Coturnix japonica: one gene and its partners. The protein of the gene in region 3 interacts with the protein of the main gene of each other region in a pairwise test. Links are inferred from orthologs where the notes say so. Each region holds a gene or a part of one and is shown on either strand. Other genes may lie near its edges. The genes, in order: SOX5, PTPN3, LMO1 and CBY2.

What was found.
Region 1: the proteins of LMO1 (region 3) and SOX5 interact in binary tests that used the Homo sapiens proteins (3 or more experiments, as listed by UniProt). The two-hybrid records come from large-scale screens. The link is inferred for Coturnix japonica from reciprocal best matches to the Homo sapiens genes LMO1 and SOX5.
Region 2: the proteins of LMO1 (region 3) and PTPN3 interact in binary tests that used the Homo sapiens proteins (3 or more experiments, as listed by UniProt). The two-hybrid records come from large-scale screens. The link is inferred for Coturnix japonica from reciprocal best matches to the Homo sapiens genes LMO1 and PTPN3.
Region 4: the proteins of LMO1 (region 3) and CBY2 interact in binary tests that used the Homo sapiens proteins (3 or more experiments, as listed by UniProt). The two-hybrid records come from large-scale screens. The link is inferred for Coturnix japonica from reciprocal best matches to the Homo sapiens genes LMO1 and CBY2.

Annotation. Positions count from the first base shown.
Region 1 is NC_029516.1:60,779,767-60,782,452, reverse strand, and holds the end of SOX5 (transcription factor SOX-5), read right to left. Parts: intron 1,223-2,686; coding exon 919-1,222; 3' UTR 550-918; downstream 1-549.
Region 2 is NC_029517.1:46,429,492-46,433,090, reverse strand, and holds part of PTPN3 (tyrosine-protein phosphatase non-receptor type 3), read right to left. Parts: intron 3,586-3,599; coding exon 3,409-3,585; intron 1-3,408.
Region 3 is NC_029520.1:14,278,476-14,282,666, reverse strand, and holds the start of LMO1 (rhombotin-1), read right to left. Parts: upstream 2,885-4,191; 5' UTR 2,476-2,884; coding exon 2,451-2,475; intron 1-2,450. UniProt on the Homo sapiens protein: May be involved in gene regulation within neural lineage cells potentially by direct DNA binding or by binding to other transcription factors.
Region 4 is NC_029516.1:150,251,557-150,255,900, reverse strand, and holds CBY2 (spermatid-associated protein), read right to left. Parts: upstream 2,813-4,344; 5' UTR 2,713-2,812; intron 1,268-2,712; 5' UTR 1,262-1,267; coding exon 284-1,261; 3' UTR 185-283; downstream 1-184.

The DNA of each region.
Region 1 (2,686 bases), on a different chromosome or scaffold from region 3:
CTGCTGGTATATCAGGTTCTTCAAGGGATTGTCTAAGATACAACACTGTCCTAACTTGAGATAGAGCAGGAAGAGAAAGGAAACCCAAAGAAAAACAAAAACAAAGACCAACAAAAAATAAAATAAAGCAAATTGGACTAGTTCAGCGCTGTAGTACAAATTTGGCACTTGCTCAAAGACTCAGTATGATGTGCAACTGATGAAGAGAAGTTCTCTCTTGAAAGGAAATAATTGCTTGCTGGGGTTAACAGAAACAGGCTCCCCACTTCCTTCCTTGCCAGCCACGCGCACACGCACACACACACACGCTTCAGACCCAAACGTGCCAGGGAGGAGAAGGAGGAGACAGAAGGGGAAAAAGGAATTTTATCTTTTTCTTCTTTCCTGTCAGGTGCATTACCAAAAAAATAAAAATAAAAAAGGAAAAGAAAAAAAAAAAAAGGAAAAAAAAAGAAAAATTATTTCTCTTTAAACTGTAGCACAAAACAACAAAACACATTCACAAGCCACTTGTTGGCACTGTGTACCTGAGTGAGAATTTCTAGAACATTGTAGAACAAACAGCCATAAAGTTTATTTGAAAAAAAAAATAATAATAATAAAAGGTCGACGGGTAAGACTTCAGTGCTCGGGTATAGCAGCTGAATTACTGGCATTATTTTACCCATAGCTTATATTATTCTGTTGTTGTTGTCGTTGTCTTTGTTTCCTTTCTTCTGAGCCTTTTTTCTTCTGATGCAGGCTGATGTCTATTAGTCAGCTGATGTCCCAACTAGTTAAGACTAACAGTTAAAGTAACAGTCAGTGTATGAGAAAGTTAATGTGCTTGGCCACTGGTAAGGATAAACCAGATGGGGCTTTATTTATTTTTTCTTTTCTCCTTGAAGTCCTGCGGGTCACATGGTATTTGGACCCTGATCAGTTGGCTTGCCCCGCAATGTGATTTTCACTGTCACTGCCATAGTCCACATCGGGGTCATCCTCTTCCTCATCATACTCATCGTAGATTTCTCCATTGACGTCATCGGTCTGCATCTCTTCCTTGATATGGGGCTCCTCACCTTTGATGCCGTAAGTGCTCTGGATGACAGGCATCCCGGGCTCGGGGCTGCTGGACACACTTGAGTGCTCTGAGGGCAGGTGTGGGGAAGGCATTCCTGCCATGGCGATGGCTCCTGGGTAAACGACACCTGCGGTGGCAATGGGAATCTGTGCTTGTTGCCTGCAATGGAGAAGAAGGAAGAGGACATTTGAGTACTGCAAGAAGCAGAGAGAGAGCAAGTATGACGGCATTTGGCAAACCCATTAGCATGCGCTCTTGAGCATTCAGAGGGAGCTTATGGATGGCCCACACATGACTACCCTGGTATCAATACTCCAGATTCACCAACTGATGCTCCTGATGTGAACAGTGAGCCCAAACCAACTTCACTGCTAAGGAAATTCAACCTTTGTGAACTTCTTCAGTTACACCTGAACCACACAGCTTCAGCTTATCAGCCTGTGACGCAAATTTCTTTACTGAGCAGCCAGAAAGAAGCAAGCACCCTTTCAGTCATGGACTACCTCACAAAACCATGCATTTTGAAAATCTTCTTAAACAATCACAAGCAGTTGAAAGGATTAGAAATAAAAATTTGCTAACAGGATAAATGAAGCTAAGGCTGGACAGTCTGCAAAGCAAAGGGAAGTAACTTTGGAGGAGAAAGGAAAGGCCTCTCTGATGAGAGAAGTCTACTGCATGGTAACACCTGGACCTGGCCCTTGTTATAGAGAAGGGCAGTGGGCTTTCTGGGGCCCAAGTGGGTAACGGCCTCCCACTGGAAGGTGACAGTTACCAGAGTGAGTAAAACGGGTGAAAAACAGAAACTTTGAAGCAGGGTGGATAAAACTGGGAAAAGCCAGACTTAAAATGGAAGCATGCATTATTTAAAAATAAATAAAAAGCAAGCGAACAACATGAGCATTTGAGCAAATCCTCTATAAGATGCCTTTATATAGCATCTAAGCCTTGGAAACCTGTCTGCAGCAATGAAAGACGAATTATTCCAGGCCATAGAAATTCCCTTTGCATCAAGAACACTAGCTGTGTTATACCAGCGTTTGTTTCCCTGAGAAGCTTCAGGGTCCCAACAAGCCCAGAGGTTTAAAATTCATGCTCCTTTTGTTTCCTTGCTGCATGAAGTAATTCCATTGCAGTAATACTCTTCAGTACATGCTGCACATTGTAATGTCATCAGCGGTGTGTCCATCTGTACTGAAAAGCCTTGCCACAGGAGACAGGGCAGAGTCTCTTGAGATGAACATTCGTAATTAAGAATGAAACCTTTCCCTGTTCCCTTGCCTGGCTGTGCCCTGGCTGTACAGTAAGCCCCGCACAGTACAGTGATCCTGAAAGACTCTCCTCAGCCAAAGAGCTTTACATTTGTTTGGAATTGCTAGCTGTGTTTTCAGTTACTTCCTGCCTGCCATTCAAGCGAGGCCGCTGTCAGTATAATCGTTATTTCCTTGTTGCTGAAACAAGTTTAAGTTGTCTCAGCTGAAGACACAGCTCTTAAAGAAGGGAGCGGATCTAATTTGCATTTTATTCTTAATTCAATAGGAAGGCTTTGTTTTCTGGAGTCAGCATTTCTGTAACAAGATTCAGCACACTTAAATTGCTTTTAATATTTAACAATAGGAATAC
Region 2 (3,599 bases), on a different chromosome or scaffold from region 3:
ATGAGATGCTTAGTAAGTCAGTTGCAGCACTGCTTCAATGAAGAAAATTAAGATCTTTCAACAAAAGCAAAATACCTCCAGGGCAAGAATGGGGAAAGCCAACTGTAAGTGAAAAACAGATACCAAGAGTCCCTAATAAATAATACGTTTTATCTCACTACTTGTCTTGAAACAAAACAGTAGTAGCAATATGTGTATACATCCAAAAGGATAAGTTAAGTATATTGTAAAATAGTGCAAAACAGAGTCAGAGGATAGACTAGATTACCTGCTCTGGTGCTGGTGAGGCACAGAAATAATAAAAGTGGTTTAACACTCAAAGCAACCTATTAGAGGTAAGTCTTCAGCGTGTACTCCAGCTGTGTAATTTTTCAGAGGCAGCAGTAGTCAGATAAGACAGACAGCAGCACAGCAAGCAAGAGGAGAAACAACAGGGAAGGATTCTTCACGGAGGCTGGATTACCCTGGACTAAACAAAAGTCTTCTTGAAGTCCTCTTCAGCACCATCTTCAATGACAGGCTTTACATGCAGCTGTGATTTGAGATGGTTGGCTTAGATAAGCAAACCTATGCATTCTTCTATAAATCCAAGATCCCCCAAGATTCCAAACATGACTTAATTGATTAAGTACACAACAAATCTCGTCAGACAAGTTTCATCTATACATTTGTACCAATAAGCAAACAGATGATTCTGAAGGCAATTCTGTCTTGGGGTAGATGTTGCTTTGATGAAAAAAACCTAAGACGTTATTCAGAGTCTGAACTGAAACAAGTAGAAACCATCTCCCATTACCGCAGTCCCTGAAATGCTCATGATAGCCACAGATTAAGGTTAAGGAGCTGTATGATTATAATGAAGATTCAAGGTCCAGTTCAAGCAATAATAAAGGGATTTAAAAGCATCTCCCAGTTGCTTGCTAGTAACTTTCCACAGTTCTTTCAGATTTTTCCTCCCACCAAAGACACTCATCATTTATACTCAGTATTAACTACAACCACTTTCGCCTGAGATTGCAGGCTAGGCAGAAAAACAAAAAAAAAAAAAAGAGTCCTCTAAAGGCAATACAAAAGCTAGGAGAATCTAGTTTGGGCCCCCTTCTATGAGAACAGATTTGCAATTTCAATATTTTTCCAAAGCACGTCTTGATTGTGTCAGTTCAAGTCTACTAAAGAACAGTCTGACAAGAATAGGCAAGTTAGCTTTAAAAGTTTAATCAGTACACTGCAAGCTGTTTGCTAGTTAATAACTAAACTATTCTGAAGTATGGCAGAAGTCCAGGACAAATGTTTGTCCATACATAATACCAAAGATAGGCAAGTTAAATGCTTTTCTTACAAAGCAGATATAGCTGGTAGACCAGATTCTATTTCAATAAAGCATTCAGAGAAAAATATTTGTCTACACCTAAAATTAATTTTACCTTACATCTTCCCACAAAAGAAGCAAGGCAAATAATGACAAATGTAAGAACATAAAGAATAACAAGTGGAATGCAGACTAACTATTGAAAACATCAGTGTAGAGTTTAAACATTCTTTTATTTGTACAGTACCATAATGTTTTACCTCATTTGTTGAAGTATTAATGACCATTTTACTTCTAAAAGTACCACTTTACATCTACCAGTTAATGTAATAAATGATCATTCATTCTATACACGATATTCTCCATCCTAAACATACTGTGAATTTAAATTAAGCACATTTATGTAAGTATTTTTTCAATTACATGCATGAAATCCAATACTATAAATATACCAAAGAGACAAGGAATGCTTTGGGAATAACTCACAGAAAATTAGGTTTATCTGAGGTGTAACCATAATATCTACAGTGAGTGATGTAACTCAGATACAGTAGAACAAATCAGTGCTCAGGAAATAAATAAGCTGTTTTCACATTCAGAACACCCTATTTCCACTGTCCATAAAAAACAGACCTTCCCACTCCACCCTCAGGAGGAATAGGAAAGGTAAAACAGGAAGGAGAAAAATTGCAGAAGAAAAGATAAAAACAAGAATGATGAAGTCAGGACACAATCTACCAGTCACAGTACACAGGGTAACAACTTGTTTTTCTGCCAACAGCTTCTACATTCACCATCTCCTCATATGGTCTACTTCTTATTAATTTTATTTGGTTAACTACTTCTGCAAGGGCATAATTTGTCTGTAAATGTTAAAACACATGAAAGACACAACTTCATATCTGTGGCTACTCAACATCTTGAGGCAACACACATTATTACAGCCATTAGTGACACTACTAGCACAACGGCACATCTGACTTGCAGGAATAGAAAAATACTTTCAATAACCCCAGTGACAAACTCCAAATATGCATACAGCACGTTAAATTTTCATTACCCCCCCTTGCTCAGCCCCTTTTCCCTGCCCCCCTAAAACCTCAATGCTATAATATAGTAAAAAAAACTGTTTTCTTCATATTTTAAGACAACTCTTCGCCTTGGGTTTAAAGCTACTGCAATGAAGCTGAATGCTACCAAAGAGACAGGCAATTCCTATCAATCTGCTTCTCAAAATACATCATGCCTTTGAGTTACAAGGAAGAGGTCACCCAAAGCTATTTTTCTTTTGTAATAATATAAAGAAACCTGCATTTTAATACAAAGTATCCTCCCTAGATGAAAGTTTCAAAGTACTCTGTTTTCTTTGTAAAATTTGACTGATCAGGGACCTGGTACCCTTATTATTTCTGAAGTTAGTATTATGCTAATATGAAGTTACTCATTAAGAAATAACTCTTTAAGTAAGAGGAAAGCCACACAATAAATATAATGTATAAGCAAAGAAATAATTAGTGCACAAAGACAAGAGCTTCAGGTCATGGAAGCAAACATAATAGCCCTGGTTAGACAGTTGGTCCTTAAGGAATAGAGCAAAACACCTGAAGGCAACAAGTACAGACTGCCCAAAGAGTGGCAATCTACAATTCCTCAAAGTAAGAAAAAGATAGATGACCACTAGTATCATCATGTTTCCATGTTTAATCTAACACAGTAATTCTTTCAAACCAGCTGGAACTGATAATGTAGAAAACAAATGAACTCTTTTAAGAGCCCAATGAAGATTCCCCAAGAGAAAAGAAAGGTTATAATAGGTGGGAAAGGGTTGCAAAACTTACTGGGAAAGGGGATATTACAGATAAGAACAGGTTTGCCACCTCTGATTTTATTGAAAATTTTTGTTTAGGGGTTAAGGGTTGGTTTTTAAACTTGTCATTTTGTATCACAGCATTTGCACTTTTAACAATTTGTCAAAATAAATCTTATGCAAACAAAAAACTGTTTGAACTCAATGATGTAAATTATGATGACTGTTTTATACTAAGGCTATTTTGTTTTTAAAGACAAATGAGCAATGAATTGTTTACAGAAGCCCTTACCTCCTCTGTGGACTGTGGTTCTGAGAGAACTCTGAATCGCTGTCTTTGGATGTTGGAGAGCCCTTATACGTATAAAAAACATCTTCGGTCTCGGTAATATAAGAAATCTCATTTGTAAGGTTATCTACAGATGAATGTCGTGCTTTACGAATTTCATGACGTAGTCTAGGACTCCGCCTTAAAAAAGGGAA
Region 3 (4,191 bases):
ATACATGCTGATTACTAGGCTGTGCTTCATTGTTAGCAGAGATTACAGCTGGGATAAGCTGCAGCTTTTTCCTAATTGCTATTATGATGACTGAATTTTTGTTTTGTGTCAAGCATTATTCACACATTATACTCAAAAATTTGATCCCTCCACGACGCATTATTGATTCCATGCAGGCAATCATGCTGCCGCCAATGTGAAGAATTAATTTGGGCTATTCTGCTTGATTTGCATTGCTCCATCATAGCAGAACACAACTCTATGGGGAAACACAAATTGAAAAGGAAGATTTGACAAAATATGGAAAATGCCGCCGTCCTTTTAAAGAGATGAGCCTTAAGAAGAGGAGGGGGAAAAAAGCTGAAAATAACAAAGCCCAGCACAACACGTGTGGTCCAGTAAGAAGTAAGGTCAGCCAGCCAAATTCATCTTAGTCAGAGGAAGGTTACAAGAGTAGCCTTACGCCTCTAATAAAGTAAACTAGCTTGCTTCAACTTGTATTGCCAAAGAAAACAAGCGAACACCTCTGAGAGCAACACTGCTCCAAAGCCTTTGAAACCTGTTAGCTCCATTTGTTTTCCCAGCATAAGCAATGCTCAACCACTTAGCGTGTCTTTTATCCGCAGTCCAGTCAACTGCAAAGCTGATCTAGAAGATGTGAAACAGATGCTTCACATCCACCTCTTTTTTATCAGAGTTCTCCCGCGTTAACAAAGGGAATTATGAGATGGCTTGACTGAAATCTAGACAGGGATTCCATGTGTTTTGACCTGAAGATTATTTCACAGTTTTAGGATGCCAACTTCATTAGAACAGAATCCCTTGAGAAGGGCAAGCAAACTTACATGTGGGTGCTGAGACCCCACATTGAGTCAACATCTGATCAGAATCTCCTTAAAGAGGACACTGACAACGACTCATTTCTGCTTGGTCACAAATGTTGGGCGCATAACCTCCAAGCCCATGCACACTTTGTCCACTGTCCCAAGCACTTCACACCTGAATGAGACAAAAACCCACATTCCGTCCCAGAAACAAGCCTCAAACTGCTACGCGCGTCAGCACACTGCATCATTTTACAGACTAAAGGTGTCAGGAGACGAAGGACCTCAAAATGCTAGATGCAAAGCATAGTGTTTCCCGATAGTATATCTTGGGGTGTCGTGTAGGGAGAAAGAGGAGCATCAGTCCAAGATTGGTTAAAAGCGAGATTACTTCCATTACGGCCAAGTCTTCTTTTCTGATTGTGGTCCAGTACAGCATTAATTTGGCTTTGAAACACCCCAAAATAGATAGGTGTTAGGGAACAGAGAATATATTGCTTCAACCTATCAATGGGGAAGCTTTCGGCACTGCTCACAATGCACAATTACAGGAAAGCAAGAGACTGAATTGCATGTTATTTTCCCCAAATATTTCTAAAGGTAATACATATATTCAAGTAAAATTCACCCTACCGCCATAACATTCCATTTTCTCCAAGTTCTTTGGATCCCCATGAAAAACTGCTTCCTGTCTACAGCCTGCAAGCATTCACTATTTTCTCCTATTTCCAAGTAAACTTGCTGGTTATAGAGAATTCTATATAAATAAAAGCAGAGAACCCAGCAACTGAGCCATCAGCACAGCCCTTCACTCACTTACAAAGGTGAGATGGAGCAAGGAGATGATGGCTGTGGCGGTGTGCTGGGTGTTACAATGCAGCTCCTGCCTTCGCTACGCAACACGCCAAGGCGAGTGGCATTGCCAGCGCAGGAAGTTCATCAGGATGGCCACTGATGGCTTCCACTGCTTCAGTCTTTCTTTGCTGGCAGTGTGCAAGTTAGAAGGGAATTTCCAAACCGCAGCATAGCGGATCCTCATTGAGAAGTTGCGATGGGACTTACTGCGTACATCCCAGGCACAGCTGGTGAGCAGGCAGTTGGGTTTGGTACTACCGAGCACTGCCTGCCAGCATCAGCACCCAGCCCTCAGCCGCCCGCAGCAAGGGCTGCTCTTAACAGAGTGACTGTTTGCTAAGTCCTAAATTAAGTCAGGTCCTACTTCCGTTTCATTCATTCAGTCACCTCCCAGCAAACATCCATTCAGAGTTGGGAAGAAGGCACAGCTTTTCTACTGGAGCAGCTTACGAGCTTATCATCAGCACGGTTAGAGCAATGGAGAAAAGATGCGAGAAATAGATATTAAGGGCGTACATTAAGGAGACCCAAATGACACGCAACGGGAAGGAAACCATCTCAACATCAGGTTTACATTCAGAGCCATTAAAATAAATGAATGTATTAGGGTGAGTTGGAGGAGGAAAAAATCTAAGCAGACAACAATAAAAATAAGAATGAAGCTGCTTCCGCACGCGGTGCTCGGGGTAAACCCTCGGGTCCCGCCGGGAGGAGATGACACGCGTGGGCACGCAGTTCCCGGCCGCGTCCCGGCGCCGCTCGCCCACCTACCGTCGTCCTGCTCCAGCACCATCATCGCGGGGCTGCGCTCGGGCAGCGCGGACCTCCGGAGCGGGGGAGTCCTCGTGCGGCGCGGGGCTCCAATAGCCGCCCGTCCGGCGTTTAACACAGATCTCGCTCCGGCAGAGCGACGCTCGGGGGCAAAGCGCTCTGCGGGTACGACTGCGGGGCTCACCTACTTCTGCGCCGCAGAACTGCGAGGAACTAAAACTGCAATTTAGAAAGAAGGGCGATCGGAGCGGTTCCTCTGGTTCTCACCTCCTCAACGGCTCAATTTACAGCTCATAACCTATTTTCACGCGATCGCTTCTGACGGCCCGTTCCCCCGACCGCCGCAGCGAGCCGGCTCTCGGCTTTATGAAGCGTCTCTCTTCGGTTTCGGGCTGAACCCAGCTCCCGTCACCCCGGCAGGCCGGCCCGCAGCCCCGAGCGCAGCGGGGAAGGCAGGCGCCCGCCCCCGGCGGCGGGATGCGGCGCGGCAGCACCCCCTGCAGGACGCACCGCGCTCCTCGGCCCGGCCCGGCGCCTCCCGGGGAGCGGCCCGCGGGTCTCGGGGCCGCCGCTCCTCTTGGCGGAGCGCAGGGCACGGACTCGCCGGAGAGCGAGCTGAGAAGGTACCCGGCCGGCTGTACCCGGCGGTTGTACCCGTTGCTCGCAACTCTCGCTCCGGAGACTGTAGCTCCACTTTCACTCGGTCGCTACCACGGTGAATGTATCAGCTCGGCCCTTGCGGGTCCGCCCCACCTGTCAGAGACGCCATCGACGACCGAACGCAAAGCAACAAGTGCGGACCCTGCGCCCCGCAGCCCCAGCGCACACAGCAGCCGTCACCCCGACCGCGCTCGCACAACTGCAGGGTCATGATCTCCGCTGCCACCAGCCTCACCGCCTCGGTCAGCTTGTGATACAGAAAGCACTTCATTCCTATTTTAACTTCTTCCCTTCGCAACTCACACAACACACTGCAGGCTCAGGCTGAGTATCCGCAGTACTATTGCTAGTTAGATCCCTTATCCCCAGCTGAGGTGGCATTTTCTTCCCCTTCATTCCAAACGCTTGATCCCAACAACCCAACAAGTATCACGGCCCTAAAAGGAGGACGGTTCACCCAAAGATTAAGGCTAATAGTTGAAAGCACTAGGCACAAGCTAGCAGAAACACGGGTTGTTCTACCTTTGGAGTGTTTTAATACTTCTAATGTTTCTACCGGATCTCTGATGGAGGCTGTGGACTCCAAAAATGTCCCTTCGTTGTCCGCGTACATTTCAATCCCATCGCCTTCAACAAGGACGCACCGGTCCTAAAACACACGGCACATTTACACTCACACTGATGGGTAATGGCAAAAAAAAAAAAGGGGGGGGCTGTTTTCTGATGAAAATGAAGTTAGGCACTGCTTACTGAAGCTGAGTTCTGTGGCGGGTGGAATGCAGATAGCGGTAGGCTGATGTGGCACAGATCCCATACGTGTTCATCCTTTACTGCTTCACAGCATCACAGGAGCTGCATTACTCCCTTCGAAAATGGTTATTTCTAAGTGCTTTCACTGCTTACTCATTTAACACACCAACAATAAAAAAGTTTCCTAACCCCCAACGCATTTGTACTGCAATTAAAGCCAACGACAATTAACACAATCTGTCGGAATTAATCACGACGCCTCATGTCAGTTTACTTTTTTAAGCAGAAATCTGGGCTTTGCAATCAAAACATTTACGTATTTGAGAAGTAT
Region 4 (4,344 bases), on a different chromosome or scaffold from region 3:
AACCTAAGGTACCTCAAATTAAGAGTGAAAAGAATGAACTCTTTTTTGAATATGCAGGCTCTCCATTAGCAGAAAATCCCCCCCAAAAGGCTGAAAAGCATGCTTTCCAGGCACCACGCTACCAAAAGTTGAAATCTGCCCAGGTAATATAAGAAAGTTTCAGAATAACACAATACTCTCCAGCTTTAATTTTAGTTCATGCTCTGCTTGTATTTTATTAAGTTCCTGGAAACAAAGAGAGGCACTTTCCAGGAAACAGAACTAGCAGGTTTAGCACCAGGCTTCAAATCTCTCCAAGTTGAAACTCGTTTGCCATGTTCTTCCCTTCTTCTTCATATATTGGGAAAGTGATGGCGATGAGCTCTTTCTCCAGCATTTCCAGTTGAGTTGTAATGTCTGACACAGTGTTTTTCACGTTATTCAGCTGCAGCTTCAATTTCTTGTACTCTTCCTGGAAGAATTTTTTCTCATCTTGGAGAGCGTGAAGGCTGTCTCTGTCATCAGCAAGACATTTCTCCTTGAGGAACACCTGGAGAATCTGGTATAAGTCATGGAGAGCCTGAAGGATTTCATTATCATCCTCTGCGGTTGGTGCAATCTTGGTGTCATTCTGGGTTGGCGTGGTGCTCTCCTCTTTGGCATCATGCTCCTCCTGGGAGGATGTGCCAGGGCTACCTTCTCCCGCAGCTGTGGTACATTCAGTGACCTTCTGAACTGAGCTGGCGCCTTTGTTCTCTTCTTGGACTATGAAGGTTGGTTGATCTTTCCAAATGCTGGGAACTGTTCTATTCTGCTTATGGAAAAACTCTAAGAAGCTGCTTCTTTCTCTGACCAGCTGGAGAGCCTTGTTGCTTGGACTGACCTGAAAACCTAAATGCCTCTCTGGGAAGAACGAGGACAGCTTATCTTTCTGGAGGCTTTGCTGGATGATGTCACTGTAAACAAGCTGGACACCTTTGTTCTGTGTCTGGAGATATTGCAGAGCCTTATTTTCTTCCCAGAGCATCCTGTTTTCGATACGGAGGACTTGGTTTTCCTCCCAGAGGGCTCTGTTCTCCTCCCAGATGCTCCACTCGTTCTCTGTCTTCTTGTTAAGGAGTCTCCTCTGGGATGCAAATGTTGGCTGGCAGTGCACCTCATTCACCCATTTACCATCAATAAATGTAAATGTCTCATCCCTCAGTTTCATCCGTGGGAAGACACAGTCCATCTCGGGCCTTGTACCCCGTGTGCTCTGGTTTGTCAGGTCAAAAGCAGACATGGTTATCTGTTGGCAAACAGAGAAAGATTGTGAAAAGACTTCTGCAGGAGGCCACTGCAGGAGGCCACTGCCCACTGGCAAGGACTAGATGACACAGAAGCTGGAGATGAAGCTTGATTAGGACTGCAAGAACAGGAGAAAACAGGCACTAGTGGAGAAGGCAAAGCCTTGGTGGCACCACAAAGTTTGATACAAAAACCTGGACTCTCTTTTCATCCCCTTGCATCAGTTTTACAGTCATGGAAGATAAATAAAATGCAGAAAGTCATATGAAATGAGATTGAGATTGAACTGCTTTTTAAAACAAAAGTATTTGTTTCTTTTTACCACAGCATAAAACTGTTGGGTTTTTTTCTGATAAAAAAAAAATGGTAGGCTGACTGCCAGTTTTTATCCTTCTTGCCCCAAAGCCTTCCAGTCACCCTCCTGTCCTATATGGCATCCAGTGCTGCCATATGACTGGTGGGCAGTCATTTTGCCTCTGTATCTGTCCCAAGCACTTGGCAGGGGGTCAAAGCCATGGCCCAGCTCTGCCAGGACACTGAACCCTTTGTCCTGTTTTGCCCCACAACCTTCACCAGCTGCTGCCTCCCTGGGCTCCTCCAAGTTACTTCTGAGACCCACCACCCACAGCTACCTCCTTCTTTGCCTTCCCAAACTTGCTTGAAAGCTCAAAGACATATTGCTACTGTTCAAAGCCCCAAATCTCTTCTTGAAGGAATAATTGCAATATGGGTCTGTTTGCCGTAACACTTGATTTTATTGATATAAGGTCTCTGCTTAACTTTCAGAGCTGCCTTCCGCATTGCCATCTGGTATATCTCACATCAGACTTGTGTTTGCATAATGTCATTCCTCTGCTAAAAGGGATTTCCCACTGTTTGCAACTGCTTGCCAATTTCCGCGTTTATTTTTCCCCCTTACATTGTGTTCAGAGCACAGCGAGCAATTTGTTGCTCCCTGCCTCACACAGACCTGTCCTTTTCCCTCAGAGGGTGCTGATGTCCCTGTCATTATCCCCATGATGGGAAGCTGAATCACAGGGGGAACTGATCCCTAAACCCTGATGAGAAAACAGCCAGCATCACAAGCCAAGACCCACCCTTCACTGTGTTTCATGCGCAGGCATTTAAAGCCACTTATGTTTAAAGTGTTTATATGGCAAGTTTTGAGGATAAACAGCAGTATATAATGTATACAGCATTGAAGGATGTTGTCCTGGGGTCAATTAAACTTGACAGCACCTCTATCAGCTCCTGTGTATTGCAGGGGAGAGGTCAACCCAGGCTTCAGAGAAATTTTCCCACCTTCCTTATTCATATTCCCAAACTAAAAATTCCTTCCACAGGATGGGGAGATGGGTTGGAGGAGCAGGGTTGGGGGAGACCGCATGAAATCAAGCATATATAGGTGTTTTGGCAGTACCAAATTACATACCAGCATGTACTCACCTGCTTGTTGGAGATGATACTCTACCCTCTTCACTGCCCTGCACAGCTGCCAGGTCTCCGCTTGGCTTTTTAGCCTGAAGTTCTGCTCCAAGTTCTGTATGGGGGGGGCATGGTGATGAGATGGGACAATGGAACCCACTGTGATGCGATCACCACGCCCAGAGCCAGCCCCTTCTCCACAAGTCCAGGAGCTCCCCCCTCTCCCCCCTCACAGCCCATTTTGTTTTATTTTTCCCAGCATTGCACATTTGGGTCATTTCTCATGGAAACGACCTTTCCAGTAGCCTAGCTCTCACGTCCTTTCTTGAACCCAGGCTTCCCTCTCTGATGCACATAACTGAGAGCAGTTTAGATGGATTCTCCCTCCATCACGCTCTCCTAAAAGAAATTTTGCTTTTATTCTGAATCTAACACATTAATTCTCTGGCTGAACCAATGCTGATAAGTTCAAAAACCACTTCCTTCTGTGTATGCGCTATGACAGCTGAAGTTATTTTTAAAGGACAACATGGATATGAGTTTTTCTGTAACTATAAGTTAAAGAGTAGATCATCACTGAACCCCATTAAGAAGAAAACAGAACATGCAGGGCATTCATGCATTACAAGTTTAGATATTATTTATAGCAGCTATTCCTGCTTCCATGTCTTTATGTTTCTAATAATCTCATTCTCTCTCTTATTTGCTTAATCTTTTAGATGTGGATTATTTCTTCATCTTTTTTCCTGTCATCAGGGTTTTTGAATAATAAATACAGCAATTAATGTCTATTCCAGTGAAAATTACCAACTTGACATCAATCCCAAAGTGACTGTTATTGCTTTAGGAAGTTAAAGGTATAGTTTGGCTTCAGTGTTCTGCAAAGATAATAAACTTAGGCATACAATTCTCTTCTGTATTTTTTTCCTTGTTTCTATTTCATCTCAGACAACACAATAAATAAGTAAATCAGAAGTTCCCATGACAACTCCCCGGGGTTCATTCTCCTCTGTTCAAGTTCTGGGGTCCTACAAAGAGAAACTGGAAAATATCCCCCTAAGAAGTAGTTGGCCTTCAGTCAGATGGCAGTGCCAGGGTGCTGTCCAGCTGCTACAGCTCTCAGGGGAGGCAGCTGAACTTCTGAATACCTGAGTGTGTGGACCACTGGCACAGACCTTAAATGAAAGTTTTAAGTTCTAAGAGCCGACAGAAAACTGAGCTAACAGAGACAAGGGCACCGTGGATTTATCAGCAGGCAAAGCCTGCTTGGTCCAGAACTCCTAGGAACTAAGTTAGCTGCATACTTTCACTTTTTCTTATGCATTTTCTTATTGTCCTGAATGTTGGATAAAGTTCTTCTGGCAAGTCACTTCTTTGTTGAAAGTTACAACTTCAAACAGTAATATATTTGGATCCAATTTAGCGAATATCATCAGATGTGCATACATGTATGTGGAGACACACACCAGAATTGTAAAGACACAGCTGTTCACGGCAGAACTTTTCAAAGCAACTGCACTGACTTCTGAGCTATATTGTCCTAAGGATAAGGCTGTCATTCACAAGGCTGTGAAGGCAGAAATAATGTTGACTGCGTTCCCTTCCCTGTCAAGAGATGGTAACTCCAGCTCTGTAAGAAGGGATTGAACTTAC